Linked DNA regions of Lepisosteus oculatus. The protein of the gene in region 1 interacts with the protein of each later gene in a pairwise test. Links are inferred from orthologs where the notes say so. Each region holds a gene or a part of one and is shown in the gene's direction. Other genes may lie near its edges. The genes, in order: vps52, wtap, mfap1 and rnf41.

The links.
Region 2: the proteins of vps52 (region 1) and wtap interact in binary tests that used the Homo sapiens proteins (3 or more experiments, as listed by UniProt). The two-hybrid records come from large-scale screens. The link is inferred for Lepisosteus oculatus from reciprocal best matches to the Homo sapiens genes VPS52 and WTAP.
Region 3: the proteins of vps52 (region 1) and mfap1 interact in binary tests that used the Homo sapiens proteins (3 or more experiments, as listed by UniProt). The two-hybrid records come from large-scale screens. The link is inferred for Lepisosteus oculatus from reciprocal best matches to the Homo sapiens genes VPS52 and MFAP1.
Region 4: the proteins of vps52 (region 1) and rnf41 interact in binary tests that used the Homo sapiens proteins (3 or more experiments, as listed by UniProt). The link is inferred for Lepisosteus oculatus from reciprocal best matches to the Homo sapiens genes VPS52 and RNF41.

What each region holds. Positions count from the first base shown.
Region 1 is NC_090709.1:39,252,977-39,260,007, forward strand, and holds the start of vps52 (vacuolar protein sorting-associated protein 52 homolog), read left to right. Parts: upstream 1-4,025; 5' UTR 4,026-4,056; coding exon 4,057-4,137; intron 4,138-4,704; coding exon 4,705-4,792; intron 4,793-5,902; coding exon 5,903-5,955; intron 5,956-6,660; coding exon 6,661-6,736; intron 6,737-7,031. Other genes in the region: rps18 (small ribosomal subunit protein uS13), read right to left, coding at 128-229, 375-461, 1,426-1,524, 1,783-1,785. UniProt on the Homo sapiens protein: Acts as a component of the GARP complex that is involved in retrograde transport from early and late endosomes to the trans-Golgi network (TGN).
Region 2 is NC_090697.1:50,788,369-50,795,688, reverse strand, and holds the start of wtap (pre-mRNA-splicing regulator WTAP), read left to right. Parts: upstream 1-4,309; 5' UTR 4,310-4,387; coding exon 4,388-4,415; exon of another isoform or gene 4,416-4,438; intron 4,439-5,313; coding exon 5,314-5,351; intron 5,352-5,437; coding exon 5,438-5,493; intron 5,494-5,577; coding exon 5,578-5,636; intron 5,637-6,316; coding exon 6,317-6,444; intron 6,445-7,320. UniProt on the Homo sapiens protein: Associated component of the WMM complex, a complex that mediates N6-methyladenosine (m6A) methylation of RNAs, a modification that plays a role in the efficiency of mRNA splicing and RNA processing.
Region 3 is NC_090700.1:49,401,167-49,409,013, forward strand, and holds the start of mfap1 (microfibrillar-associated protein 1), read left to right. Parts: upstream 1-4,846; 5' UTR 4,847-4,962; coding exon 4,963-5,044; intron 5,045-5,837; coding exon 5,838-6,054; intron 6,055-6,702; coding exon 6,703-6,835; intron 6,836-7,178; coding exon 7,179-7,366; intron 7,367-7,847. Other genes in the region: hddc3 (guanosine-3',5'-bis(diphosphate) 3'-pyrophosphohydrolase MESH1), read left to right, coding at 396-636, 1,705-1,835. UniProt on the Homo sapiens protein: Involved in pre-mRNA splicing as a component of the spliceosome.
Region 4 is NC_090696.1:15,789,532-15,796,495, reverse strand, and holds the start of rnf41 (E3 ubiquitin-protein ligase NRDP1), read left to right. Parts: upstream 1-3,941; 5' UTR 3,942-3,993; coding exon 3,994-4,164; intron 4,165-6,645; coding exon 6,646-6,917; intron 6,918-6,964. UniProt on the Homo sapiens protein: Acts as E3 ubiquitin-protein ligase and regulates the degradation of target proteins. Polyubiquitinates MYD88. Negatively regulates MYD88-dependent production of pro-inflammatory cytokines.

The sequences.
Region 1 (7,031 bases):
CAGTGGTCTGTATAGCCTGCAGCCCCACAAGGGGGCACTGTAGAGACCCGTACCCCAGTGAGGAGGGAGCAGTAACTGACCACAGGCCGCAGGGTGCTGCGCCCCCCTCAGGACACTGCAGTCTTACCTGGCTGTATTTTCCATCCTTGATGTCCTTCTGCCTGTTGAGGAACCAGTCTGGGATCTTGTACTGCCTGGGGTTCTGCATGATGGTGATGACTCTCTCCACCTGCCCCCGCCCCAGACACCCCAACACACACAGCAGTGAGCCCCCACACGTCCATCTAGACCCCAACACATCTCCACCTGCCCACCAAGACATCCCCAACTACACCCCAACACACACACACAGCCCCCTCTCCCCCCAGACTCACCTCGTCTTCGGTCAGCTCTCCAGCTCTCTTGTTGAGGTCGATATCAGCCTTCCTCAGAACAACATGGGCATATCGCCGGCCCACCCCCTGAACACACAACAACAACAGGGTCAGTCCAGCGCCCACCCCCTGAACACACAACAACACCAACAGGCTCAGTCCAGCGCCCACCCCCTGAACACACCACACTAGCAGGGTCAGTCCAGAGCCCACCCCCTGAACACAAATAACACCAACCACAGGGTCAGTCCAGCACCCACCCCCTGAACACACCACACCAACAGGGTCAGTCCAGCGCAAACCCCCTGAACACACAACAACACCAACCACAGGGTCAGTCCAGCGCCCACCCCCTGAACACAAATAACACCAACCACAGGGTCAGTCCAGCGCCCACCCCCTGAACACACTACACCAGCAGGGTCAGTCCAGCGCCCACCCCCTGAACACACTACACCAGCAGGGTCAGTCCAGCGCCCACCCCCTGAACACACTACACCAGCAGGGTCAGTCCAGCGCCCACCCCCTGAATACAAATAACACCAGCAGGGTCAGTCCAGCGCCCACCCCCTGAATACAAATAACACCAGCAGGGTCAGTCCAGCGCCCACCCCCTGAATACAAATAACACCAACCACAGGGTCAGTCCAGCGCCCACCCCCTGAACACACCACACCAACAGGGTCAGTTCAGCGCCCACCCCCTGAACACACCACACCAGCAGGGTCAGTCCAGCGCCCACCCCCTGAACACACCACACCAACAGGGTCAGTCCAGAGCCCTGAGCCCAGTCCTGACCCTGAGCACACAGCAGCTCAGTCCAGAGCCCAGTCCTGACCCTGAGCACACAGTCTACACAGAGACCCAGCAAGTCAGCCCTGACCCTGAACACACACCCTCAACACCCAGAGACACAGCAGGTCAGCCCAGAGTTCAGTCCTGACCCTGAACACACAGCAGCTCAGTCCACAGCCCAGCCCTGCCCCTGAACACACAGCGGGTCAGCCCAGAGCCCGGTCCAGTCCGGTCCACTCACAGCCCCGTGTCTCACCTTGATGGCGGTGATGGCGAAGGCGATCTTCCTGCGCCCATCGATGTTGGTGTTGAGAACACGCAGGATGTGCTGGAACTTCTCGGGGATAACGAGTGACTGCGGGTCAGAGAGAGACACAGAGAGACAGGGGGGTTAGCGGGCTCGGCTCGGAGGGAATATGGCCGGATCACACAGCACAGCAGCGAGCGCCAGTTTTAAAACAGACCCGCACCCGGTTCCGACCCAAACCGAGCCGCAGGGCCGGGCAGGGGTCCGGCAGAGGCTGCCCCGCGGCGGCCGGGGCGCCGGCGCCCCCGTGTGCAAGCGATGGCGGCGGATGCCTTGCCGGCTCCCCGGCAGCCCGTCTCCTCTCACCATCTTGTCCGCGGGTCCCGTCGCAAAGAGGCAGAGGCCGCGCTCTCGCGAGACTATATCGCGGGATCTCCGGGGAGGGGCTTCCGGTTCCGGCGCCCGACCGCCGCCGCCCCCTCCCGAATGCCGTCCGGTGGGGAAACACGGACCGAGTTCTTCTTGTGGGCCGCTGTCGCTGCCTTTTTAAGAGGACGGCGCTCTAAGTGGTGGTGGTGGTGGGGAGAAAAAAGAAACGGTTTTAAACGACTCCCCGTGATTCTTTAAAAAAAGAAAAGAAAAGGTCTTCCTTCGGTGCGGAAGAGAGCCGCCGGCCCGGCCCCTGTGCGGCCGGTGTGTCCCCAGGTTTTCCTTCCCCCTCGACTCTGAAACTCGGATCAGCTCGTCGGCACCTTCGCCGGACTGACTTTATTATTTAATATTTTGGTGCCCTCCGGGCCAGCGGGCGCTGGGTTTACGACGCCATTGGCTGTACTGTTGCGCGGTGCACTGGGGACTGACATGGCTTTCGAAGGCTGCGTGTTTCACTGTGGCGTTAAAAGCAGTTTCCCCCCTGATGGGCACAGAGGGGTCCGTTCTGCCTGGTGTTGGGGACAGTTTCCTCACCGAGAGAGGCGTTTGGACTGCGGGGTACCTTCGTGTGCGGAGAGCCACAGTTATACCCCACTGACAGGGAGCTGGAAACCCCTCCGCCAGCCCGGCCAGCCCGTCCGGGACCGGGACCGGGACCGGGACCGGACACAGCCGGTAGTGTTGGGTCCGTCCCAGTGTGTTCACACGATCCCGCCCCGTGTGTTTGTCCTCTGCACGAGTGCGAGGAAACGCTTCCGCGCCCGTCCGCTCCAGTCCAAAGACATGAAATAAATCGCCACAAACATCAACACGGAACAGCCGCAGCGACAACGAGAAGTTTAATAACACACGACTTGGATAACACATCCGTGTGAGCCAGCGGGAGGGGCAGAGTTCAGTAATCTGACAGCTGGAGGGGAAGAAGCCGTCTCTGAAGCTGGAAGTCTGCGCCTTTAATAATAATAATAATCATAATAATAATAATGAACTTTATTTTATATAGCGCCTTTAAGGTGGATGCTGCACATTGGTGGTGGTGGAGGGGAGTCCCCATTACCTGTAAAGCGCTTTGAGTGGAGTGTCCAGAAAAAGCGCTATATAAGTAAAAGCAATTATTAATTATTATTATTTAAAGGTGGCTTCTCAAAGCGCTTTACAGAATGACAGCAACAATAAATCCCCCCCAAAAATAGCTCCTATAACGCTGACCGGAGGGAAGGAGGGAGATAAAGTGAGGAACCGGGATGGCTGGTGTCCTGAACGATACTCCCAGCCTTCCTGAGACAGCGGGTAGTACAAATGCCCACCGTACAGGGGAGCTGAACTCTTTTTTTAGATTAAGTTTTTATTTAAACAGCAGAAATACAAGGGGGGAGACAAAATATTAAAACAGATACAAAAATAGACACTTGACAGCCGGAGGAATTCACAATTATAACAGCTAAAAATTAAACTTTTTACATAATTCCACGTGTTCCGACGGAGATTTTGCCTTTTGATTCTTTAAATGTCTAATCGAGTTTAAATAAAAAAAGAATTCTACCTTAAAAGCATTAATAGAGGGAGGATTCGCCAAAATAATTAACAGATTAATTACGAAGACGTATCGTTTATCCAAATCAGGTCTAATAAAATATAAAATAATATAAAAATCTCACAATTTAACATTTAACTTTAAATATTTAACAACAACATTTTGAAAATCTATCCAAAACAATTATGTATATATTTATTAACAATTAACAAACACACGTAACACAGATTCCTCATTCTCATTATTACAAAATACACATCAGTCATCTCGATCGTGTTTGAATCCAGAAAGTGTCAATTTAACCGGATAAAAATCTATGAACAATCTTAAATGTTATTTCTTTAACTTCATCTGAAAGACAGTATCGATCAGTATCATTTATTTTATATTTAAATATACATTTTATTGGAATATATTCCAATTTATTTTATATTCGAGTTCGCCGCATATGCACACAGCTAAAACTACATATAGAGTTTATAAATCTGAACATTGTCGTATGATGAAATGGTCCATCCCGTCCATGCGACATGTTCTTCACATCAGCTACGATCTTTACGGCAAAAAAATAATAATTCAATAATAATTCAATAATAAAACCCATTAAAAAAAACCCTCAGCGCAGAGCACGCCGGGAGGCGGGCGCGGGGGCTGCTGGGAGGCGGAGGACCCGGATGCGGGCAGTGATGGCGGCGGTGCTCCAGACTGCGGACGCCGGCCCGGCTGTCAGCGCCATGGCGTACCTGCAGGACGAGGTACGTGCAGCGCCTCCGCCCCGGGAGAGACACGGGGAGCGCCGGCGGGCGGCTCCTTGCTCACTCGTACGTGTGTGTGTTTGTATACACGTCCCTCTCCCCCATAGCCAGCTCCCAGCCTCTTACTGCTCACACAGGGGTCTCTCAGGGAGACAGGTGTGTGTTCCCCGTGTTACGGCTCTCCCTCTGTCTGTGTCTCCTCTCCCCTGTGTTAAGGCTCTCCCCCGGTCTGGCTCTCCTCTCCCTCTGTCTGTGTCTCCTCTCCCCTGTGTTAAGGCTCTCCCCCCGGTCTGGCTCTCCTCTCCCCCCGGTCTGTGTCTCCTCTTCCCTGTGTTATGGCTCTCCCCCCGGTCTGTGTCTCCTCTTCCCTGTGTTATGGCTCTCCCCCTGGTCTGTGTCTCCTCTTCCCTGTGTTTTGGCTCTCCCCCCGGTCTGGCTCTCCTCTCCCCCCGGTCTGTGTCTCCTCTCCCCTGTGTTACGGCTCTCCCCCTGGTCTGTGTCTCCTCTCCCCCTGGTCTGTGTCTCCTCTCCCCCATGTTACGGCTGTCCCTCGGTCTCTCTCCACAGATGAAGTCTGACCCAGATGACATTCCTGCTCTCAATCTGGGTGACCTGGACCTGACCTCTGACGAGTTCATCCTCGATGAAGTGGACAGTGAGTGTAGAGTTGTGTGAGAGTGTGGGCTTGTAGTGTGTGTGTGGTGTACACTTTAACACAGCGAGTGTAGAGTTGTGTGAGAGTGTGGGCTTGTAGTGTGTGTGGTGTACACTTTAACACAGCGAGTGTAGAGTTGTGTGAGAGTGTGGGCTTGTAGTGTGTGTGGTGTACACTTTAACACAGCGAGTGTAGAGTTGTGTGGGTTTGTAGTGTGTGTGTGTGGTGTACACTTTAACACAGCGAGTGTAGAGTTGTGTGAGAGTGTGGGTTTGTAGTGTGTGTGTGTGGTGTACACTTTAACACAGCGAGTGTAGAGTTGTGTGAGAGTGTGGGCTTGTAGTGTGTGTGGTGTACACTTTAACACAGTGAGTGTAGAGTTGTGTGAGAGTGTGGGTTTGTAGTGTGTGTGGGGTGTACACTGTAACACAGCGAGTGTAGAGTTGTGTGAGAGTGTGGGTTTGTAGTGTGTGTGTGGTGTACACTGTAACACAGCGAGTGTAGAGTTGTGTGAGAGTGGGCTTGTAGTGTGTGTGGTGTACACTTTAACACAGTGAGTGTAGAGTTGTGTGAGAGTGTGGGCTTGTAGTGTGTGTGGGGTGTACACTTTAACACAGTGAGTGTAGAGTTGTGTGAGTGGGTTTGTAGTGTGTGTGTGGTGTACACTTTAACACAGCGAGTGTAGAGTTGTGTGAGTGGGTTTGTAGTGTGTGTGTGGTGTACACTTTAACACAGCGAGTGTAGAGTTGTGTGAGTGGGTTTGTAGTGTGTGTGTGGTGTACACTTTAACACAGCGAGTGTAGAGTTGTGTGAGAGTGTGGGTTTGTAGTGTGTGTGGTGTACACTTTAACACAGCGAGTGTAGAGTTGTGTGAGTGGGTTTGTAGTGTGTGTGTGGTGTACACTTTAACACAGCGAGTGTAGAGTTGTGCGAGTGGGTTTGTAGTGTGTGTGTGGTGTACACTTTAACACAGCGAGTGTAGAGTTGTGTGAGAGTGTGGGTTTGTAGTGTGTGTGTGTGGTGTACACTTTAACACAGCGAGTGTAGAGTTGTGTGAGAGTGTGGGTTTGTAGTGTGTGTGTGTGTCTCTAACAGTTTCTGTGCTCACAGTCCACATCCAGGCTAATCTGGAGGATGATCTGGTGAAGGAGGCTCTGAAAACGGTAAGACTGACCCCTGACCCTGACTGACCGCAGACTCACTGACTGACAGACTGACCCTGACTGACCCCAGACTCACTGATCCCCTGACCCCGACTGACCCCAGACTCACTGACCAACAGACTGACCAACAGACTGACCAACAGACTGACCAACAGACTGACCAACAGACTCACTGACCCCAGACTCACTGACCAACAGACTGACCCCAAACCCGAGACTCACTGATCCAAGACTCACTGACCCCCTGACCCTGACTGACCCCAGACTCACTGACCAACAGACTGACCCCAAACCCCAGACTCACTGACCCCAGACTCACTGACCCCAGACTGACCCTCTCTCCCAGGGTGTGGACCTGAGGCAGTATTCACAGACACACTGACCCCAGACTGACCCTCTCTCCCAGGGTGTGAACCTGAGGCGGTACTCACACACACACTGACCCCAGACTGACCCTCTCTCCCAGGGTGTGGACCTGAGGCAGTACTCACACACACACTGACCCCAGACTGACCCTCTCTCCCAGGGTGTGGACCTGAGGCGGTACTCACACACACACTGACCCCAGACTGACCCTCTCTCCCAGGGTGTGGACCTGAGGCGGTACTCACACACACACTGACCCAGACTGACCCTCTCTCCCAGGGTGTGGACCTGAGGCGGTACTCACACACACACTGACCCCAGACTGACCCTCTCTCCCAGGGTGTGGACCTGAGGCAGTACTCCAAGCAGGTGGAGGCGGAGCTGCAGCAGATCGAGCAGGCCTCCATCAGGGACTGTATCCTCTCTGGGCCCTCCCCTCCTCGTGGGGGGCGGGGCCTCGGTCACAGCAGCACCACTGAGATCGCAGCTCAGCGCAGGGGGGGCGGGGCCTCGGTCACAGCAGCACCACTGAGATCGCAGCTTGGTGCAGGGGGGGCGGGGCCTCGGTCACAGCAGCACCACTGAGATCGCAGCTCGGTGCAGGGGGGCGGGGCCTCAGGCATGGAGCCTTCACTGAGATCGCAGCTCAGCGCAGGGGGGGCGGGGCCTCGGTCACAGCAGCACCACTGAGATCGCAGCTCAGCGCAGGG
Region 2 (7,320 bases), on another chromosome or scaffold:
ATTGACAGTGCAGCTCATTTCTGGAGACGTGAAAGTTGCATTCCTGTTCTCGTTTTTTAATGGTTTAAATGCATTTCCATATTTCCACTTTAAGTTTCCAGTTGTGTCTTCTGGTTCGTATTTCATGGTTCATTCTGAAGAAGCCTAGTGTGTCACTTCGTCATTGAGGATTTTTGAATACCTCTATCAGGTCTCCTTGGAGTCTTCCCTGTTCTGCCTTGAGGCTCCTGGCTTCCGTGCCCTAAAGTTGGATAAACGGTTATTGAAAGTGATGATGATGAAACGCGGTGACCAAAATTTTACACGATATTCAAAATGAATCCCTGGTACGAGTGGTTTGCACATTGTTATGTACACTTTGCTGATGTTATTAGTATCTATATGCTAATAACATTAACTGTAAATTTACTTAAACCCTTAACTTGCTTTTACCAAGTATACATATTTTAAAAATATAACTTAAACAGCCTTAAATTTTGAACGTACATTTGAAATGAACATTTATCAGGTTCAGGTATTGCAATGTATTTTTTACATGTTACACAGCAAAGACATCAAGACAGAAAATATCAAAATTCTTTGTAACTATATTTGCACCATGTCAGCACTAGATGGCACTGTCAAACTTTTTTGTGTATGTGGAGATAAACTGCAGAGGGTCTGAAATTCTTAAAATTTGTAGGAACAACCTTATTATTATTATTATTATTATTATTATTATTATTATTTGACACAATATACCATTTTAGGAGTTTACAGTCAAGTAATCTAATTTAATAAATGCAGAGGAACAACAGGTTTATTCCATGCTGAAAAGAGAAGAAAGAAAATACAAAGTTTCGGCTGTGGAGCCTCACACCCAAAGAATGTTTCTCTTTTCAGCATGGAAAAAACCTATAACTTGTTCCTTTGCAGCCTACGGATGCTGACGCAGCTACCCACCTGTACTAATTTAATAAATGTTTCTACTGTATATGTCAGATTGAAATCTAGTGAATAGCCAAACAAAGAAATTAAACCTTCATATCCAACAGAACAGGTAATGTATAATGTATATATTGTAAAAATGACCATTGTGGAACCTTCTGACATTCTGCTAGTGGCGAAGATCCTGGTGTCTCTTTGCCTTGGGCTGTAAGTATGAACTATTTACTTCACTTACAGATGTGCAGCAAATGAGCAAATGTAATCAAATTTAAGTTCAGTCTGGCTCCCAGAGCCGGAATCCAGAGGTTTACTGTGATGATCCTCCTCTTGGCCGCAGCTGGAGGCTTCCGTGATCAATACTGCTGGCCCCCTTGTGAGTCCCTAGACTCAATCATGAGACTTGTGATGCCCCCATGCCCTGGTTTTACCCACCCACGGGTGATTGACAAAACAGGGGAAAATTGGGACAGTATTGCAAAACCCATACTTGTCAATATCACTGTGTGAGGCAGGGACTTCAACAGAACCAGCTGAACCACATCTATACTAGGATTGTTTACAGGAAAGCAATGTTAATTTTAAAGAATGTCTCACATTCAAAAGCTATAGAAAATATTTTTAAGGAGTCATTCATGTTGTGTGCCGTTACTCTTTTAAATTCTGATTCCTTCCACAACATTGCATTGACAGCACATGTACTGTACGGTCACACTTAAATCTTATGTTTCACACTTGAGTTTTATGGTTTTGTATTATGTTGTATTGTATGGTTTTGTTATTTATATTGCATTGATTGTATGAATCATGTGACATATGTTACATACAGTTAAAGTGGTTCAGGTTGGTAGCTGCGTCAGCATGCGTGCAAAGGAAGAAGTAATAGGTTTATTCCATGGTGAAAATGGAAGAGAGAAAACACCTCTTCTTTCTCTTGTCTCTCTCACCTCTTCTCTCCACCTGTTTTCTCTCTTCTTAGCATGGAATAAACCTATTACTTGTTCCTTTACATACAGTTACAGTTTTGTTTACTTGGTTTTAATTGTTGTCTCAGTGAATCCAAAAGAAAATTTCCAATGTATGTGGACAATAAAGGACATTCTGATTCTGCTATCTGGAAGACAGCACTGGGAAAATCAGGATGGTTTGTAGCCTTAAATATAAGACTTGAATGTTTGTTGTTGAGTTAGGGCAGAGAATACAGTACTGTACTTGACTTTACTGAGTAAACTGACTTTAAGGTCACACAGAACAGTGTCTCTCTAAGGGCTGATGCCTTTCTCTCCCTGTTCTTTGAGCTTCCACCCATTGGTCAAAGGTCCGTCTTGCGTACACGCTCGTTAATTACAGCACAGTTCAGAGGTGGCATGTAACTGGGCCCCAGACCGAGAGGGAGCAGGGCTCCAGAAGAGGGTAAGCATAGACAATGTATTGTTACAATACATTACAATACAACAATAGACAATGTATCTGCATACAGCCAGTTCTTCAATGAGGCCCTGCGCAGTTAGCTCTGTCCACACGCAACACATAAATGGGACATTTACAGTACATGCCCCATCCCAGCCCTCCCAAGAACGAGTCCTGAGTCCTGGCTAGGCAGTCAGGAGAACTCAGGCAGTGTTTGAGAGGGAAGACTTGAGGGGAACACAGTTTGCATTGTTTGACCCAGGAGAGGACTCATACACTAGAGACTCTACAGAGAGCAGCAGAGGAAGACCCCGGCATCATCGTCCTCCCCCCTAACAACTGGACTTAGCTAGACTCAGCATGAGGGACCACATTGTTTGGGTTGGCCGGGACTGAAGAGGATGCCTAAGACAACACATAATGTCTTTGCTGTGGCAGAAGGAGGCACACCAGGTCACTGACCCAAAACAGCATTACTAGACTTTTGCTTTGGGACTTTGGGTTTTGGAAACTGGGGTCCATGGGGCTCATATGGTTTGCTGGCATGTGGGTAATTTTTGTCATGGACTCTGTGTGATCGGTAGACTACAATAAAATGGCATATTATGAAGAATGACTGTCTTGTCTGGTCTGTGGGTGCACTGGAGGTACTGGGAGATAAGAAGAACCTCTGGTGGGGAAAAAGGGGCCTAGCACTCTTGTAATTGCTCGGTGGAGTAGTTGGCTATAAAAGCTAAAATTATTCTGTATTTTGGGATCACCACCTGTGACAGCTAACCCCTAATAAAATCACAGTAGGACTGTAAATGAGTCATACACGTAATCACCACATTCCATCATGAACACCTGCAAATAGACATACCTGTCAAGTGATAGAAGCTGTCTGCATGGAATACAGAAATATACATGAATTTGGAGTTGACGGAACAGGGTGTCAAAAGATTAAACTACACATTTAATTCCAAATGAAAACATAAATAGCAATTTATAGATATAACAACAACACTAATGATACACTGTGAAGCATTAAACAGTGCACGAGTATTGAAACAACAGTATTTGTTGCACTTTTTAAAGCCTCTGTGTACAAACTTTATACAGTGCCTTTAAGCACAATTATCCATCTATATATCCATCTTATAACCGCTTTATCGACTACAGGGCTCGGGGGGCAGGAACCTGTTCCTAGCAAGCCGCAGGAGCATGATGGGATATCCCCGAGCAGGATGCCACACAGCGCAAACACACTGTCACAAACTCAGACATGCACACACCCACGCCAGGGCCAGCTTTCCCACAAGCCAATAAACCTGGCAGCATTTTCGACTGTGGGAGGAAGCCACAGAACCCACACAAAGAGGGGGATATCATGTAAACTCCATGGAGATTGCACCCCAGCAATGCTAGCCACTGCGCCACCGTGCCGACAGAATATATCTATGCATTATGTGTTTTTCCTCTAAGTCTTCATAGTCGTACTATTATTATCATAAATGTTGAAATCCATATTCATCACTGGGGATTTCAGACAGCGAGCTATGTACTGAACTTTGTTGATGTGTGCGATATTACAGGATGTGGATTCTCTGAATAATAACATATTTCTATGACAACTGGAAGAGACTTGCGCCTCCCTCCGTCTGGAGCGCTGATCCTCCGGCCCACTGCGCTCTGCGCGCGTCCACCTTATGATGCTTTGCGGCGGAAGCTCCTCCTCCTCTCACTCATGGCGGCGGCGAGAGATTTGGGCAAATAGCATCGGTGTTTGGAGAAACGAGACAAAAAAAAGATTTCCCGATTTGTTTTTATTTTTAATTTCGCTTTTGTTAACGTTTTATAGCGTTTGTCCAAGAGGATTTCTAGCCAGCAGAAAGACGGGTCTGGTAAGTCTTCCCTCAGGGGTGTAACGGTGGTTATCAAGGGGAGGATTGTGAGTCTCGGCTGCGGGAGAGTCCGACACTCTTCCTTCAGCGCCATTTTGTGGCAGCGAGAAGCTGCAAACACAAGAAACCGGCAGGTAGCGAAAACACAACATAATGATTCCCGGATATTTATGCTAGTTTTGGCGAGCACGGTTACACGTACGTAAAGTGTCTTTTTACATGTTTGTACCTAAGTGTTTTTATACTTTGTATTTAAAAGTAACGAAAACAGCGTGATGTGTATACCAAAACCATGATGGTTCTGCTTTAGCAAGACAGGGGAGGGCGGATACCTCCACAGGATATTTTTTTATCTTGAATGAGAAAAGAAATGATAAAAATTAGAAAAACAGTGGAACCGAGCGCCTTGTCACCTTATATATACATACTCACAGGACTTGAGCTGTTAGGTTGGCTCTTTACTGAGCATTTACTTGGCAGTACTTGAAATAAATTAGGTGTCCCAAGAAGATGTTGATAGCTTTTTAACTGGTGTTTTTTTAATTGTTTTGATGGGGAAGGTGTTTACACAAGCTGAAAAATACTTTGAATTGGTTGTAGCTTTACTGGAAAATTCTGGAAACTTTCTAGTCCGAATATTTTGGATTTCGTTTTGCTAGCACTATCAGCCGAAGCGCAACTTCAGACGCCGTACACCTCTGTCTTACCATCTGAAATCAATGGTTGTAGCTGAGCCTATGTGATGGAGTCAATGATTGAGGCTATCGTTAAAGTTAGTTTGCTGCGGAAAGATGTAATTTGTAAGAGATAATGTCGATCTAATATATGTGGATTGTAAAATTGTTGACAAGTTTTTGTCCCTCCCCCCCCCCCCCCCCCCCACACTATTTTAAGAAGTCGCATAATGTTGACCTGTCTTTTGTGGCCGCCTGTTTCTTTTTGGTTAACTCACCATAACAGTGTGAAATCCACGTCAAAGTCTACTCTTCATTTATCTGTGATTAATTGAGTGTCGATCTTCTTGCACACCCCAAAAAAAAAGTTTCCTACATTTTGTTGAGACTTTCCATTGTTTTGTTTTCTCTTTCCCCTACAGAGTTCAGAATGACTAATGAAGAACCTCTGCCAAAGAAGGTCAGTATAGGAAATGTTATACAGGTCATTCAACATAGTGATCTTAAATGTTGAGATTTCAACTAAACATCTTCTTGCTTGATTAGGTTCGCCTTAGTGAATCTGACTTGAAGACCCTGACCAGAGAGGAACTTTGTGTAAGGTAAATATCTGTATTGCAGGGAGGGAACTGGGGCGTTGCGTCTTAATTTGGCCTTGTGCAATTCATGTTATTTTTTCTGTTCAGGTGGAAGCAGCATGAAGCATATGTCCAACTTCTGGAAGCAAAATATGCAGAACTGAACTGTAAGTTCATGTTTTCATGTTAATAAAAATTGTATTTGGAAAATGAATAGATAAATTGTGAAGGCTACTTAATTTCACCACGTATACATAGCATCTGCTGCTTAATTGGTTCTTACAAGACCTGTTGTTAAGCAGTCTATTCAGAAACCTTTATATACTGTCTCTCAAGATTTTAATACCTGCATTTGTGCAGTGCTTTTCAACCAGTTTAAGTGCAGCCTCCTCCTGGATTGATGTGAGAAAACAATTGTTGGGTGCCTAACTTCCCAGCAAATGCAAGTCCGAAGTGGATTTTTGCCAGAATGTGGGTTAGCCCCCCTATTCTTTCGAACAGTATATTGAACCTTTGAATATGTGATCAGGATGTTAGTTTAATGTTTAAGACCACCTCCTATAGTACAGTGTCCTTATTCACAATAGAAGGGTATTGGTTTGGAAATTGTGTTCCAGAGGGAAGTGACACATTTATCCTCAAATTGACACAAATGTCACTTAATGGCAGCAACATGGTTTTCTTTAGAGTTTTTCCCATCTTGGCCCCGAACAAGGGTCAAGTATGCTTAGCTTCAGAAATCTGGGGTGATCAATTTACAGGATGGTAAAGCTGCTCTTGAATGCTCTGTTGCGTTTTTTGAAATGTTAAGTTTTTTTTCCTCTTTATTTGCCCAATTCTGGTTTAGCGAATGATGTGACTGGATTGAAGGAGTCTGAAGAGAAGCTGAAACAGCAGCAACAAGAATCTGCAAGAAGAGAAAACATTCTTGTCATGAGGCTTGCCACAAAAGAACAGGAAATGCAAGAGTGTACAGTAAGTAGCAAATACTGTTTTTAAGTTGTATTTGTTGAAGGGAAGTGTGCATCACAGTATTGGCCTGAAAGAAAATGCATATATAGATAATATAAGGTTTAATGTTTTTTATTGGAATTAGATACTTTCTACAATTATTTCATATTTGGCATGGAGTTTTTTTTTGCCAAAACATTTTAAATTTGTACCCATTGATTTGGCTAGGTATTAGATTGATATGAGTTAAGTACCTTGTTCAAGGGTACATCAGCAATGGGATTTGAATCCACAGCCTTTCACTCCTAACACTCCTCCACACTGCTGTACTGCTTCAGTTAACTTATTTTACAATTTTTTTAATCTAAACTTTAAGGGAGGGTATTTTACTGAAATTGAAGACTGTTGGCTCTAACTGCTCCAGTTTCAGTTGCACCCTTTAAACATTTGCATTGTGTGTTAATTAAGTATAGATACTTTATTGATCCTGTGAGGGAAACTGCAGTGCAACAGCAGCTTAACACAGGCAACACAGCCACAGTGTAACGAATGATACAATAATAATAATAATACAATACATACAATACAATCAGTACAGTGAGGTGTGCACTAAAAGAGTTACAGTCCAGGACACAAAGAACAAACTAGAACAGAACAGTACGCAGAAAAATTATATTCCACATATGATTATATAGATATAAATATAAATGTATTGCACGGGTCCCTGGCATATATTGCACAAAAAACAGTTGTAAATGGGAAAAGAAAAAGAACAGATGTAGCAGTAGATGTGTTCAGTCCAGAAACACACATCTACACATCCCAAGCGAATAGTGTTTTTATTTGTAACTTTATATATGTAAATGCCTCACACTATGCGGTTACAATTAATATACAGTG
Region 3 (7,847 bases), on another chromosome or scaffold:
ATCCTTAGGTACATGTCGGGCTGCTCTCACTGCTGTAATCTGTACCAAATGAGTGACACATTTGGGTATGCATGTGTAGTTTACTTGCAATCTTATTAGAATAAACAATGTGAAAAGATATTTTCTTGTGTAACCCGAATAGTGTGCACTACATCAGTTGCAGTGTTCATTTTTGCATTAACAGATGTTCTAGGAATGGATTTGCTGTGTTTCTGCAGGTATGAAATGGTTAAGTAAATGAGAAGTATATTGATTTGTCTGTAACACTGCCTAATTTATTACCTTGAATCCGTTGATTAAATTTACATCTTGTTAGGATTGTATCACCTCCAGCACTGGAGGAGTTCAAATGTGTGGTCAGCTGTCAGTGAGCACGTTGTTGTGCCCCCCTGCAGGCTGCACTGCTCCATGACACAGTGGAGGACACTGACACCACCCTGCTGGAGCTGGAGGCCATGTTTGGGACGACAGTGGCGCGGATCGTCCAGGAGGTGACCGACGACAGGTCCCTTCCCAAACAGGAGAGGAAACGGCTGCAGGTGGAGCACGCCCCCCACTGCAGCCACCAGGCCAAGCTGGTCAAACTGGCTGACAAACTGTACAACCTGAGGGACTTGAACCGCTGCACTCCCACTGGTGAGTCACCTACAGGGCAGCCACAGAGAGGCTCAGGGAGCTCAGCAGGTGTGAGCCTGGTCAGTACCTGGATGGGAGACCTCCTGGGAAAACCTAAGGTTGCTGCTGGAAGAGGTGTTAGTGGGGCCAGCAGGGGGCGCTCACCCTGCGGTCCATGTGGGTCCTAATGCCCCAGTATAGCGACGGGGACACTATACTGTAAACAGGCGTCGTCCTTCGGATGAGACGTAAAACCGAGGTCCTGACTCTCTGTGGTCATTAAAAATCCCAGGGCGTTTCTCGAAAAGAGTAGGGGTGTAACCCCGGCGTCCTGGCCAAATTTCCCATCGGCCTTTATCAATCATGGCCTCCTAACAATCCCCCTCTATGAATTGGCTTCATTACTCTGCTCCCCACTGAGAGCTGGTGTGTGGTGAGCGTTCTGGCGCACTATGGCTGCCGTCGCATCATCCAGGTGGATGCTGCACACTGGTGGTGGTGGAGGGGAGTCCCCATTACCTGTAAAGCGCTTTGAGTGGAGTGTCCAGAAAAGCCCTATATAAGTGTGAGCAATTATTATTATTATTTGAAAATACGATCTCCTTCACAGCTGTACATATACATTTTTATAGATCACTTTTTTTGTGATGTGAGCCATTATGCAGTGTTTCAGATTTTGTCACAATAAGAAATGATAGCTTTGGGCCACAACAAAAATACGTTTTTGTTGTGTTGTAGCCTGACATTTGTGTGACTGCGACTGAACGTGTAAGATCGTTTGTAGGGTTTTAAAAAAAAACATTATGGCTCGAGTATATGTTTCGCAACAGGAACTCGGAGACATCCTGGTCTTGTAAATATTTGCATACCTTCTTTGTGCATGTTCCCCTTTTACTTTACCGCAAGATAGCTATTCCCTGTTATTGCCCTTTCAGTATAACTTGAACTTCCTTATGTGCGTGCATAGGGTAATTTAATACTTTCCACTACAATGTGGTCAACCCCTTTCAGAGTGAGCAGACTCGAACGTCCTGATGTGTGTGATCTGCTGGGCGTGGAGCCGATGACTCCGACCTTGCGTTGTTTCAGGCTGGACAGCAGAGCGGGTGCAGGAGTATTTCCTGTGGGCAGCCGAGGTGGTGAAGCGTCTGCGGGGCACTAACATAGCACTGGAGGACAAGCTGCAGCAGCTCTTCAGGGAGAGAGGCATCGAGTCCTGACTCCCATCGGCAGAGACACCCCGTCCACAATCTCTACACTACCTCTTCTCCGGTGCGGGGCTCCTTACTCACCTGACGGGAGCAGAACTGGCTCTGCCCTAGATAGCACTGGCCTCGGCACTTACAGCTCGCGTTGTCTTTTGGTTGTTTCTGTATTATTAAAGACGAATGATTGTATTCTGTCCCGGTCTTTTTATAATCGTTTTGTTTTAACAGACTATAGGTTATGCATGCAGTAATTCCACATGTACAAGGTGCACACTTATTCAGTTTGTCTAATAATATAGTTACAACATAATTATCGTAGAACCAATATTATGTATTCTCTGCTTCAGAATACACATAATAAAATGTTCATCTGCAACTTCTTTGTCAAAGACAGTGGTTGTAATACATCATTGTTATTAGAAGATCTGCAGCCATTTGTGGTCAGGTTAGAGACAGAGACAAGATCTCCAAACCTCAATATATAAACCACTCATGCTAAATTAACCATTCTGTTTCCTTATGAGAAAGCAACACAACAAATAGGAAGCAACTACAGTAAATACTGTGCTCATTTCATAGTTACAGAAAGCTTTTATTTACTGTTACTGTAGAACATTTGAAAGAACGTTTGCTTTCTGTAGAGCAATGCAAACTGAAAAGTGTATGTGTGAAACTACCCTGATTTATGTTCAAATGTTGAGCACTGTGAGAGAGACAGCTACAGTGTCATAAAGATAACCATTGTTTTGAACACCATAAGACCCCACACTACTTGAGGTTCACAATCTCATGAAACATTTAAAACTTTAAATAGGCTTAGTGGTATTATAGTAAGCCTATGCCACTGAGGGAACAAATAGAAACCAAATATTTGCCTCAGTCATGTCAGCTTCCTGTCTCTGCAGAATCATCCCACCCTGTAGGTGTTGGGGTGTGTTTTGTTTCTTAAAACGTGTTCACAACAGTTTCCAACTGAAACTACAAGTTTGCCAGCACAAACAGGAAGCTACAGATCTGCATACTGCAGGAACGGAGACAGAAACATGAAGGTTCTCATGCTGTATTGGCTTGCTGTGTTCACTGTTGGAGTCAAAGGTAAAACAGGGCAAGACTAGTAATATATTCCTGAGAAGTGAGTACAATGTGAAAACAATTATTAATTTTAATATAACTCCTAAAACACGATGGGGAAAAGCAGTCTGTGGTATGTAAAAATACCAGATTGGTGGATAGTCTCATCTGCAAAGGTTTGTTTTGCTTTTATTGTCTAATGGTAGCTATGAAACCATAAAAAGACAGGAGAAGTAATTTAAAGAAATATGAAACTATTGCTAATCATATCTTTTATTATCTAAAAGAAATGCAACTTAAACTAAGTTTTACTATTTTTTTTATTTTTAGGTTACCTTGAATATGACAATGAGTTTTACATTGAAATCTTGGGATTACGTAAGTAAGAAATTCTAACTCAACCTGGAACTTCTTAACCTGGAAATCTGTAGTGTGTGTAGTAGGGCTCTAGAGATCTTCCACTTTTACAAGCAAATGCTTAATGCAACAATGAATTAGTGACAAATCATTATTCTGTTATGGAAACTTATGGTTTGCCTCTGCATGGTTTATATAGCAATATCTAGTTTTCAGCAAACACATGTTGCACATCATCATTGCATGCAAATCTTTTAAGACTCTTGATGGGATTTATAGATGTGAAATGCAGTTTTCATATACTTTCCAATGTAATGATGACTGTGTTTATTGGTGTCTACTAATTCTTTCTGTGTGTACTGTATGTGTACCTAGCAATGAACAAGTGTCCTGTTCAGAGTGTAGTCCTGCCCTGCCCCCTATATTTCCTGGATAGTCAACTATGACACCAGAAAAAAGCAATATTCTGATGGTGGGTGATTGCTTAATGGTCTTGGTCTTGTTGCAGGATTTCCTGGACCTTGGTTCTGGTACACATTATATGGTGTCTCAGTTTTTGACGCGGTCTGTGTTCTCATCATCTCTTCCCTACATGTGAATTTCCAGTTGCGCATGAGACAAGTGAGAAAAAGCACTGCCCGAGAACAGAGGAGTCTCATTTCCTCTAATGACTTTGGCCTTGTTTCTGTCGCAAGTGGAAGAACGCAGCTGACCGACCTCTGTGAACTTCAGTGTTAACCCCATAGAAGACAGAATCTTCTTGCAACAATTTTCTACAATATACTATATGTTCACTTTTTCCTCCCAGTCTGAAAACACGAGAATGAAAAAAAAAACCCAGAAACAACTACTTTTATAATAAAATGGCAGTTACAGTGCTCTACTACTAATACTCCCAGATGTAATAGCATTCCTGTAATTTTGTTTTTCTAATGTAAATTAAGTTCTTGAATAAAATAAAGTAATGTGACAAAACAACGACTCTTTTACTGCATGATCCTATTTCTTCCGGAAGGTGGTTGTGTGTTGTGTGTGAGAGAAGAAGGCGAGGAATCTGAGGTGAATAATTCTCGAATAAGAATCGGCACAAAATGATAAAAATTGAAACTCCAAAACTAAACTCACGTTATTCTACTTTTGAAAATATCCTCCATTCATGTTCTCGTCTTTTTAGTTCAAATGTAAAGAAAGATGTTTTTGATGGGACACGGCATAGAGAAATCAATGTAGCGATACATTTTCTTAGCAGTGTTAACTTATATGCAATGTTGACGTACAGTACATTATTTTCTATAAAATATACTAAAACACAAACCAGCTTCAAACCGTAGATTTACACTAGGTTTTCGTGCTTTCAAATTTTATTCCAGTAAATATTTTAATAAAAATAATCATTGCTATTTTAAATAATATTTCTATAGATTATAACATGTTGTTTATAAAACCTACGGAATTAATTTGTTGTTGTTTTTTTTCATTCGCCCACTACGTTAATGAATGTTGGTCCAAAATAAAGATTAAGGAGGAAGCTCTGTAGTTTTTTGTTGCAGTTCGGAATCCAAGCACTGTAACAACATCCGGCGGCTTGGTGTCGTATTTCCTGTTTCTCTGCTACGGAGAGGAAGGAGATAGTTGTTGAGTGTGTTGTGAAGCTGATCTGAGATACATTTGTTTCTTTTGCATTTGTTTTTGTCATTTTTACCGTCCAGTCATGGCGGCACCGAATTCTCTCAACGTGAAGCAGCCGCCGATTCAATCCACGGCCGGAGCCGTGCCGGTGCGCAATGAGAAAGGTGAGTTGTTGGACTGAGGCTCCGCATAAAGCGAGGACTGGTGATCATCGGGCCCTTGTTTTCGGTTTGAAAGTTAGAATACCGAGAGGAATGTGTCCAAAATGATTGACTTTCCTACAGGTTGTCTGTGAAAGTGCACGAAAATATTAGTTGAAGTAAATGTTAAATAATTATACATTTAAGTTAATTTTATATTGTAAGACATGATGAAATACTGGATAAATACTTGTATCGGTATTAATAAATATATGATATAAAGTTAAAGTCAATAATTAATAACAAAGCGGGAGATTATTTGTTTACACTCGATACAAATACACATATAAGCTAATGAAAACGTAGACCCAATATTTTCGATACATATATGGTATTTGATAATACTACTGAATAGAGAAATGTTGGTATTTTTGTGTTGATTTGCGAAGTGTATGAATCCATTTAAGAAATTAAAATGCTACGTTTATGTGTGTTCTATAGATACAGATCATAATTGTTTTGGGTTATAATGAAACTCTTTAGCCCTAGTGTTGATTATTCAAACAGGTCTGATCGCAAGAAACGCAAAGGGTAATAAAAAACACCAGTCGTCATCGTTTCCAGATTTCTGTGACTATTAAGGGAGTTCCATGTAGCGCTTGTGTGTTATTGCAGTCTTCCAGAGGTGCGCTGTCTGGGGGAGCCAGAGAGAAGCAGGGAGTGAGGGACTCTCCCCAGCCCCTCTCTTGGGCAGCGCTGTGTGTGCATGTGTTCATGCGGAGGAGGGAGGTAATGGGGTTGCTGTGTCTTGCTGCAGGTGAGATCTCTATGGAGAAGGTGAAGGTGAAGCGCTATGTGTCGGGAAAGCGCCCGGACTATGCCCCCATGGAGTCCTCGGACGAAGAGGAGGAGGATTTCCAGTTCATGAAGAAGGGCAAGGAGGTGGAGCCGGAGGTGGAGCTGGAGGAGGAGGATGTGTCGGACCCCCGCCTGAGGCGGCTGCTGAACCGCGTCACTGAGGACGTGGAGGAGAGGTACCCTGGGGGGGGAGTGTTCATCCGCTGAGAACATCCCCAAGTGGCTTGACTTGGTGACATCCATCCATTTTCTAACCGCTCCCTCCAGTTCAGGGTCATGGGGGAGCAGGAGCCCATCCGGGCAAACAATGGCACGAGGCAGGGTACACCCTGGGCTTGACGCCAGTCCATGGCAGGGGCAGAGAGGCATAGACGCGTACACACTCGCACCAGGTCCAGTTAACCTACCGGTGTGCTTTTGAACTGAGGGAGGAACTCGGAGCACCCAGGGTTAACCCACATGAACACTGGGGGGACATACAAACTCCATCAGATAGCACACAATGCTAATCACTGCACCATTGTGACATTATCAGTTAAAAATGGAAATTGTGAACAAACAGAAGTTCATTTATTTTATTTTTCAGTAAATTTTGTATTGCAACTTCTTTGTGTTTTTAAGTGGATGTAACTGCATGCAGTATAGCTGTCATTTTTATATAGTTGATCTGTCATTCCAAATAACACTTTGATTGTCGTGATGGTCAAAATGGAAAGCGGCCTGGCAGTGGGACTAATAACATTATTTGTGGGTCATGTCGTTTTGATTCTTTTGCTGTGAGGTCTGATTGCCCTATCCCTGACACAGACCCTGCTTTTCCTCAGGTTGGCGCGACACAGGCAGATCGCAGAGCCGGAGCTGGTGGTGGAGAGTAGCGAGGAGTCGGATGAGGGGGGCTGGCATCCAGACCAAGAGGAGAGCAGTGAAGAGGAAGAGGAGGAGGAGGTTGACGATGAGGTAAACGCAGAGGAATTGGGTGTAATAACTGGATTCTAGTATGAAAGTGCAGATCGGTGTCTTTCCTGGGACAGTAGTTTGCTTATAAATTGACTGTCCTGGGATTATTCAAGAAGTGGTTTGTTGAAATTTTATCAGTTAGCTACTAACAAGCCAAGATGGGTCAGATGGTATTCCCTTGTGTGACTTCTCGTGTTGTAATGTTTTGATGTTTTCCTGACACGTGAGAAGATTATTTCCTGCTGTTCTCAAATCTTTTCATTGCTAGTGCTCTGTTAAGATGCTGTCTGATGGTAAAGAAGAGTCCCCTGTGAGCCCCTCTCCCCCCGGTGTTTGTGTGTAGGAAATCGAGAGGCGGCGTGCCATGATGCGTCAGCGGGCGCAGGAGCGAAAGAACGAGGAAATGGAGCTGATGGAGGTGGAAGAGGAGGGGAAGTCGGGAGAGGAGTCGGAGTCCGAGTCGGAGTATGAAGAGTATACTGACAGCGAGGACGAAACCGAACCACGCCTCAAACCCGTCTTCATTCGCAAGTGGGTAGTGCCATTTTGGGCGGAGGGTCCTAATACAAGATCGGAAGGTTTTGCTCTTTCAGTGACGCAGACCGTTATTGTTCTAATAATTTATCAAAAAGTTTAGTAAGCATCTGACTGCAGACAAGTAAAGAACTGGTACGTTTGGCAGGAACATTATTTCAGTTTCTTTTCGTTCTTTGCTGTAAGAACACGTGGAGTGTGTTAAACGTGTTTCAGAGTCTGAGAAGCTTTCTGATCCACATATTACTGTATTCCAATTCTAAAGTTCAGAATTGGAACAGAATAATGTGAAGTCTGTGCTGGGAAGAAATATGCTGTTACAGCAGTCTCCCCTCGAAGCTAAACGTTCGTTTTACTGAGGACCTGCAGGGCTGCTCAGCAGTGTCTTTACTGGGGCTTTGCCAGTGTAAGAAGCAGTGAGCAGGTCACTGTGAATGCGTACACTGCCAGAGTGGACTGCGGAAGCAGGCCCTCATGA
Region 4 (6,964 bases), on another chromosome or scaffold:
CCTTTGGGATTAAAAGCTCTTTGTAAAAGTTTTTTTAATTTTCTAACTGGGTGGGCAAAAATTACAACAGAAGCAGATTGTACCAAGCAAGTCTAACTGGAAAGTGTTAAAAGATATTTTTGTTTTATTTCAGTGCTTTTGTAATATTGTTGATGAGGCCTTTAAAACCTTCCGAAGCTGAGGGAAAGTGATCTAAAAAAACAGACATCAGTTGTCGGGTCAGTAATATTTTCCATTGTTCTAGTCCTGGCAGTGATTGAATTGAGCCAGGTGATACTGGCTAGCGTCCTGTTGGAGCTAGAAATGTGCATCAAAACATCCAGTAAAGTGTGTGGGGGTTACAGAGGTCACTTGGTTTTGATTTTCCACAAGGCACACTGGCTTTTTCCTGTGCAGGTGGTTCATGACCCCACGCTGGAAATTGGTCAGATTTTTCAGGAGTTTTAATTTGGCAGATCCCTCAGGTTAGTGTTACACGTAGAAAAATAAGATTTAGCATAGCCAAGAAATGGGAGGGAGGCCAGTCATTCTCTATATTGCTGTTTACTACCAATAAAATAATGGAAATCCTTCCTGTCTTGTCCACAGGGTGAAGACCAGCAGCAGAGGAACAGCCCATGTGACTGGGGGGGGGATACCAAGCACATAGAAGATGACCACCACTTCTGCGTGAGGTACCGAGCTAGCTTGGGTCAGCTGTCCTTCATGTTATGTGGGAATCAAAGACTTCTAACAGGGTTTTATGCTAGTAGCCTTTGGGTTCTGCTCTGTGGTTGAGCCAAAACCTTACCTGGTGAAGCAGTCAAAAAAAAAAGGGAACCACTCCTACAAAAGACATGTAACTTTTGTCCAGTCCAGCTGTTTGCAGTGCATTTGGTGAACAGCTTTTTGGAAAAGCATGGAACATTGACCTCCCTGGTACTACAGTCTTTCCACATTTAGCAGTGTACTGGGTGATGTGTTAACTTGTGTTAAATAGAACAAACAGACTTTGCAGGGCTGCTGTTTCAGCAAAGAACATGTTCCTTATTCTCAGAGGTGCTTTGTACTTGACTGTGCCTGTTGCTGTATGATTCTCTAATTCACGGTCACCACATGCCTGTCTTTAGACAGCTAAGAGTGCTTTAACTCAAATAGAATTTTAATTAGACACGCGAGTCAGGATGTGTATTTCCTGTGATGATGTATTCATCTTTGATGCGAAGCAAAAAGAAACTGAAATGTTTGAATTTGCATTTATTAACCACAGTACACAGTTTGCTGTGTATATGGTCTGCTGCTGTGAAGCACGGTAGACAGACAGTATAAGATTGCAGGATAAGAAATGCAAGGGAACATCCGCATGGGAGTGACTCACTACTTTGTGTGCTATTTACTGTATATATACAGTACCAGGTTTGCTGTTTGAGTCTCAGCCGAACTTATTTACTGTAAACGCTACATCAGTGGTTCTTAATCACTTTTTCTGTTTTTTCTCCATCCGGCTCCTTAATAACAAATTCTTATTTTTTTAATTTTCTTTCAGCTCTTTAGCTGTTATATGCTTTTACTAATTGGCATCTACTTAGTCTAACTGGAATTGGCACATAAGCAGAAGGAAAACCAAACACACAGCACCTGAATGTTGGATAAATTGGCATTCCCATCTGTGACTATTCAGCATAAACTTGTCACCTAACAAGATGTTTTATAAATCAGGGATTGTTAATTGCAAGTTGAGGCGACACTATATGTTTGTGTGCTAAAATTGTAAAAAATGAAAATTTACTTTTTAAACCAAGGGCTCTTGGTGTCTAAAAGTAAGCAAGCAGATTGATTCTATTAATCAGTTAGCACTGGTGATCATGGGTTTAGTCCCTGTAGCTCAGGGTTCCCCTGGGTGTGGTTAAAACAAGAACATGTCCATTGGATCGATCTGTGCATGCTTGCAGAACTACTAAAGGGTTACAGCACAGATTAATCTGTGCGCTTTTAATTAAATCTCTATACCAGAATAATATTTGGTCCTGGTCTTGAGATTTTATCCTTTTAGCTGTAGATGTTCTTGTGCTTGTCATTTTCCCTCTTCTAGAAATCTGATCTTGCATGTACAGTATATACTCTTGCACCATAACCTAAACACCAAGTTTGTTGATTGCTTAAAAGAATAATTGTATTTCAAAACTAACCCATGCGTTCTAATCCAGTTACAACTTCATTTTGTATTAAGAGTTTGATTCAGTGATTAGTTTTAGCATTCTAACTGATGCATTAACAAAACATACAAAAGGATGCAGACATCTCTACAGGGTGACGGAGGATGAATATTGCTGCTGTTTCTAAAGTAATTTATTTTCTTCTCTGAGTTTAGCAAAGTGAGCTAAAAAGGCATTGTGAATAAAGACAACAGATTTTTTCCTTTCGTTCAGTCAAAAGAATACAGTGCATTGGCAAACATGGAATTAACTGACTCATACAGAGGTATTCTATCCAAGCATTTTGGTTTCATAGACACCCCCTTGATATTGCTTATATATTTCTTGGAGGTGTCTAACTATCTATTGTATCTATTGGCATCTTGGTTAAGCCAAAGCTGTGACCTCATGAAAGTTTTGTTTTTGCATGACTGTGCACCTGTCTGTCAAACACAGAATTGATTTATAAATGCTAGCATTGGCTCCACACAGTCTGGCGCCTTGATATATCCTCAAAATTCTGACATTTAACGTCCTTTGCCATTTCATTCATTGAGTGGATGCTAGAGTATAGTTTCTTCACTTTGTTTTTTTTAATAGTGCAAATAAGGTTATTAGTTCATACAAAGTTCAGCATTTAATGCTTTATTATTAAGTAGTTGTGGTTTCGCATTCGGAACAAATTTAGAATTGACATCTAAATGTAAAACAAAAACTGTCTAAAACATAAAAGGCCTGTATGTTAGCTGGAATGTGGTTAATGAAACAGTTCACAGCAACATGGAGCACATTCTCTTGCTGAATGTCCCCTGCAGTGGCTACCATTAATAAGCTGTTCATTTGTTATTTTCATTAAATGTAGTAATGGAATAAAAACCATAAGAGAACAGATTTAGAGAATATTTTTTTTCCCTTGGCCATGCCGTGGTAATGGAGGTTTGCGCATAGCTTGATTGTGTTTGAACTACAAGGCTCAAGAGCTGCTTTGGTAAAAAATCAGCTTGCTGAAGAGACCCTTTGACTCAGGAGCACTTCTCTTGCGTGTCTGTATTGCACACTGTCCCCGTGCTGCACCATGCATTCAAAACCCAGCTAGACTGCTGTGTGCTTGAATCGGGCATTTCTAACCCCCTGCCGCTTTCCGTCCTTCCCAGGTTTGATGGTTTCTGTAATGCGCCATGGGCTATGACGTCACCAGGTTCCAAGGGGAAGTGGACGAGGATCTCTTGTGTCCCATTTGCAGCGGTGTCTTAGAAGAGCCTGTGCAGGTACACCTGGCGATTTCGCGTCCTGTCACACACACTTCCTACTGTGCCCTGAATAAGCCCAGTCCTTTCAGGGGGGAGCTCATAGGATGGCATCCATGGGACAGACATTTATTTGATGTGTTGCTTACTTTGTTTTTTTTAGTAGTGTTTTGTCTGTGCTTAGATAGAAACTGTAAAATAAGTATGTTTGTGTGGTTAGAAGTTGACTGTTGGGACATGCTATCCCAAGCTTATGGTAAAGGCTTTGTTCAACTAGAATTCATTTTCTTTGGAGGAACAAGTAAAGGTTTATTTCATGCTGAAAGAAAGAGACAACATTTCGGCTGTGGAGCCTTCTTCAGGTGTGAAGTTCAGGTCATTTATTTTGGTCTTACTGGGTATTACTTAGTGTCATTCATGACTGAATTGATTTGTTAGATAACTGCCTCACCCTTATTTCTGCTTATTTATCTAGTGACGTAGTTATGTATAATGTTGTGTAAACTAAAGACTGTGGTGTTGAAGTAAAAATATCCAGAGCTTTGCTGTAAAGAGCATACTGGAATCTTGAAATGACTTCTTCACACAGAAATAATGTATTCATTTCAATGAAGTGTCATCATCTTCCCTGTTTAGTCTCAGCTTTATTTTCTGACTCGCCCTGTCCAGGGACCCTCATCCAGTTTCATCAACCAAGATCTGTGCCTGCTTGTCCTCCACTGAGACAGAGTGACAGAAAGAGGGTAGGGAGGAGGTTGAAACAGATGTTTGTGTTGTTCAGGGACATTTGTCTCTGAGCTGGAAGGCTAAAATCCTAGCAAAAAAGTATAATTGTAGTGTTTTGCAATGTGGGATCTTGAGATAACTGAGATCTTAGCTGGTTTCGTAAGACTGAACACCATGTGCAGCCAGGGTGGCCCGGCCTGTTTCTGTACTGCCGCAGACCTACAGATGTTTTTAGAGGAATTTGGCATCCCTTTCAACATCAATACATTCTACATTCATTATATTCAACGGTTGAGTCCCTGTAGCAAGGCCTTGGATGAAACTGAAGCCAAAAACTCTTTCTGTGTCTGGGTTTGGCATAATGGCCACTCATGTTGACGTTTACCTAGTTTTTTAACCCCTGATGAAAAGCCAAGTATATTGTTCCTGTAGAGCACAGCTGAGTGAGCATTAGGGCTGTTTGTGTTCCCTGACAGTTTCTCATCTGGGGGTATTTAATGGCGACCGATCTTTTACTCCACAGTCTAAAATAGCTTCTGTAATCGATTCTATTCTTGTTTTTCTGTGTCTATTGCCTTGGGGCTGTTTACATAAGAGACATTGCACAGACATGTCTTTTAAAAGCATTGCATGCTTTTAAAAGTTAGCATGAATCCCAAAAGACAATTTGACCACAGTTTCTAAAGTGTATTGAAAATCCAAGATGCATTTTTGAAGTATTACTGGTAATAATCTTCTGATGTAAAAACATTTAACTGTACTTTTAACTCCAGGTATGGAAGCTGATTATCGCAAGGGTTTGTGGAGCTTTTAAGGAGTGATGAGAGATGCAGAGGGGAGGGAGTGATGGGGGAGGAGAGAGATGTACTGATCTGCTGTGAGGGGACAAAGTGACAGAGCAAAGGGATGCAAAGATCCCTCCTTTACAATGTGCCTGTTTGCCTGTCTGCACTGCCTTTCTGAGCTGACAATATGAAGAAAGAGGAGGATAGGTAGTGTCCTAATCCTTGTCAGGTTAGGAGAAAGACTATGGACCAGTATTAGTCATGCAGAGTGCTGTTTATACGGAGCTTCAAATGTATTTCCTGAATGCCTTAATTCAGTCACTGCTGTCATATCCGAGGGCCTATGAGGTGAGTTTTTTTTCCCCCCACTGTTTTGCTTTTGAGCTTTCCAGCATAGTGACATGCAGCTACTGTATCCTTAGTGAAATGTTTTGTCTTGGGATACATGACAAGGAAAACCAGATAAGGCTAGTGCTTCTTCGTTCTAGAAGTCTGCTCTATGCATGCACTGCCCGTACCGCATTCATGTTGAAGTGCGGACCCTGGCTCGCTGCTGTTTTTCTCCCAGGCTGCAGACCTGTCTAGTCTGTTTGCTCTTGAGCATGTTGCAGAGGTTTGCGCAGCGAGCTGGCAGCTGTACAGCCAGGATAGGAATCCAATGCTTAGAAGAAACAAGTTTATGCATTTTGTGATCAGAATGTTTTTTTTCACCCACTTTAATCTTATTAGCATTGATCCTTCTTGATATAGCTGTTTCTTAAATTCTGTGATTTGATTGGTCTCTAATATGGGTTTATTAAAAAATAGAACATGTCTCAGCTGAAGTATGACTGGCTTGTATTCTGCTGGCGAACATTCTTAGACAAAAGCTCTGGCCTTGCTTAATTTAAAATTTCTGTACATTATTTGGAGTGGCCCATTACTGAACACTGGTGGTCAGTAGCTGTCAGCTTTACAGCTATTTCTGGAAAATTAAAGGCTTAGTCAATTTCAGTAAACTTTAATTACTCTACTTTTGACAGTCCTACTTGGCTAAACGTACCAATTGAGTCTTCTCAAACATTGACTGTCTTCCAAATTTTAGCTATTGCATTACCAAGGTGGGCAGCCTTGCCTCTGGTACTGTGTGGTTTCAGCTGCACTGAGTTTTGAAATGCTCTGTTGTATTTGCGCATGTCACTTATTCTTCAAGTGCTCCAGGAATGTGATTTTTATACTCTTTCAGAGTCCAATTGATCATATCTGTTCTGTATAGAGCTCTCAATTGGGGCAGGAAGTAAGGGATAATGCAGGTATTTTAGTCCTTAAAAATGCAGAGATTTGAAGCTTGTTAAGGAGCACCATGAATAGGTTTTTCACATACAGAATATTTACTGTTTTTTCTTTAAGGGCAATCATTAAATCAAATGTTGCTTATTTCTTTGGTTGAATTAGAGAAATCATTGTGAATGTGGCATACAGTTACAGTTTATAGAAGTGTTACTTTTCCTAATAAAGTAATTTCAGTGCTTGTAACAAAAAGCCATCAAAATGGAAAGACTCCTATCCCACAGTTTGATTTGTTTCTCAAAAGCTGATTAGCTGAAGTAATGAGTTAAATTCGACTAATAAACAGAAGAGACTGGAGATCCCAAGGAGCAGTACTGTGAAATTCTGCTCGTTATAAAACTGTGCCTAACTTTATCCATTTCATTTCGTATATCCTCTCCACAGGCGCCTCACTGTGAACATGCCTTCTGCAATGCCTGCATCACCCAGTGGTTCTCCCAACAGCAGATCTGCCCAGTGGACCGGACAGTGGTTACGCTGGCTCACTTGCGCCCTGTACCACGCATCATGCGCAACATGCTCTCTAAGCTACAAATAACCTGCGACAACGCTGTGTTTGGCTGCAAGGCTGTGCTCCGCCTGGACCAGCTGCAGTCCCACCTTAAAGACTGTGAGCACAACCCCAAGAGGCCGGTCATGTGCGAAGAAGGCTGTGGGTGAGTAAGTCTGCTCTTGGCCACCTGATACTCCTGTTTCATTTTGC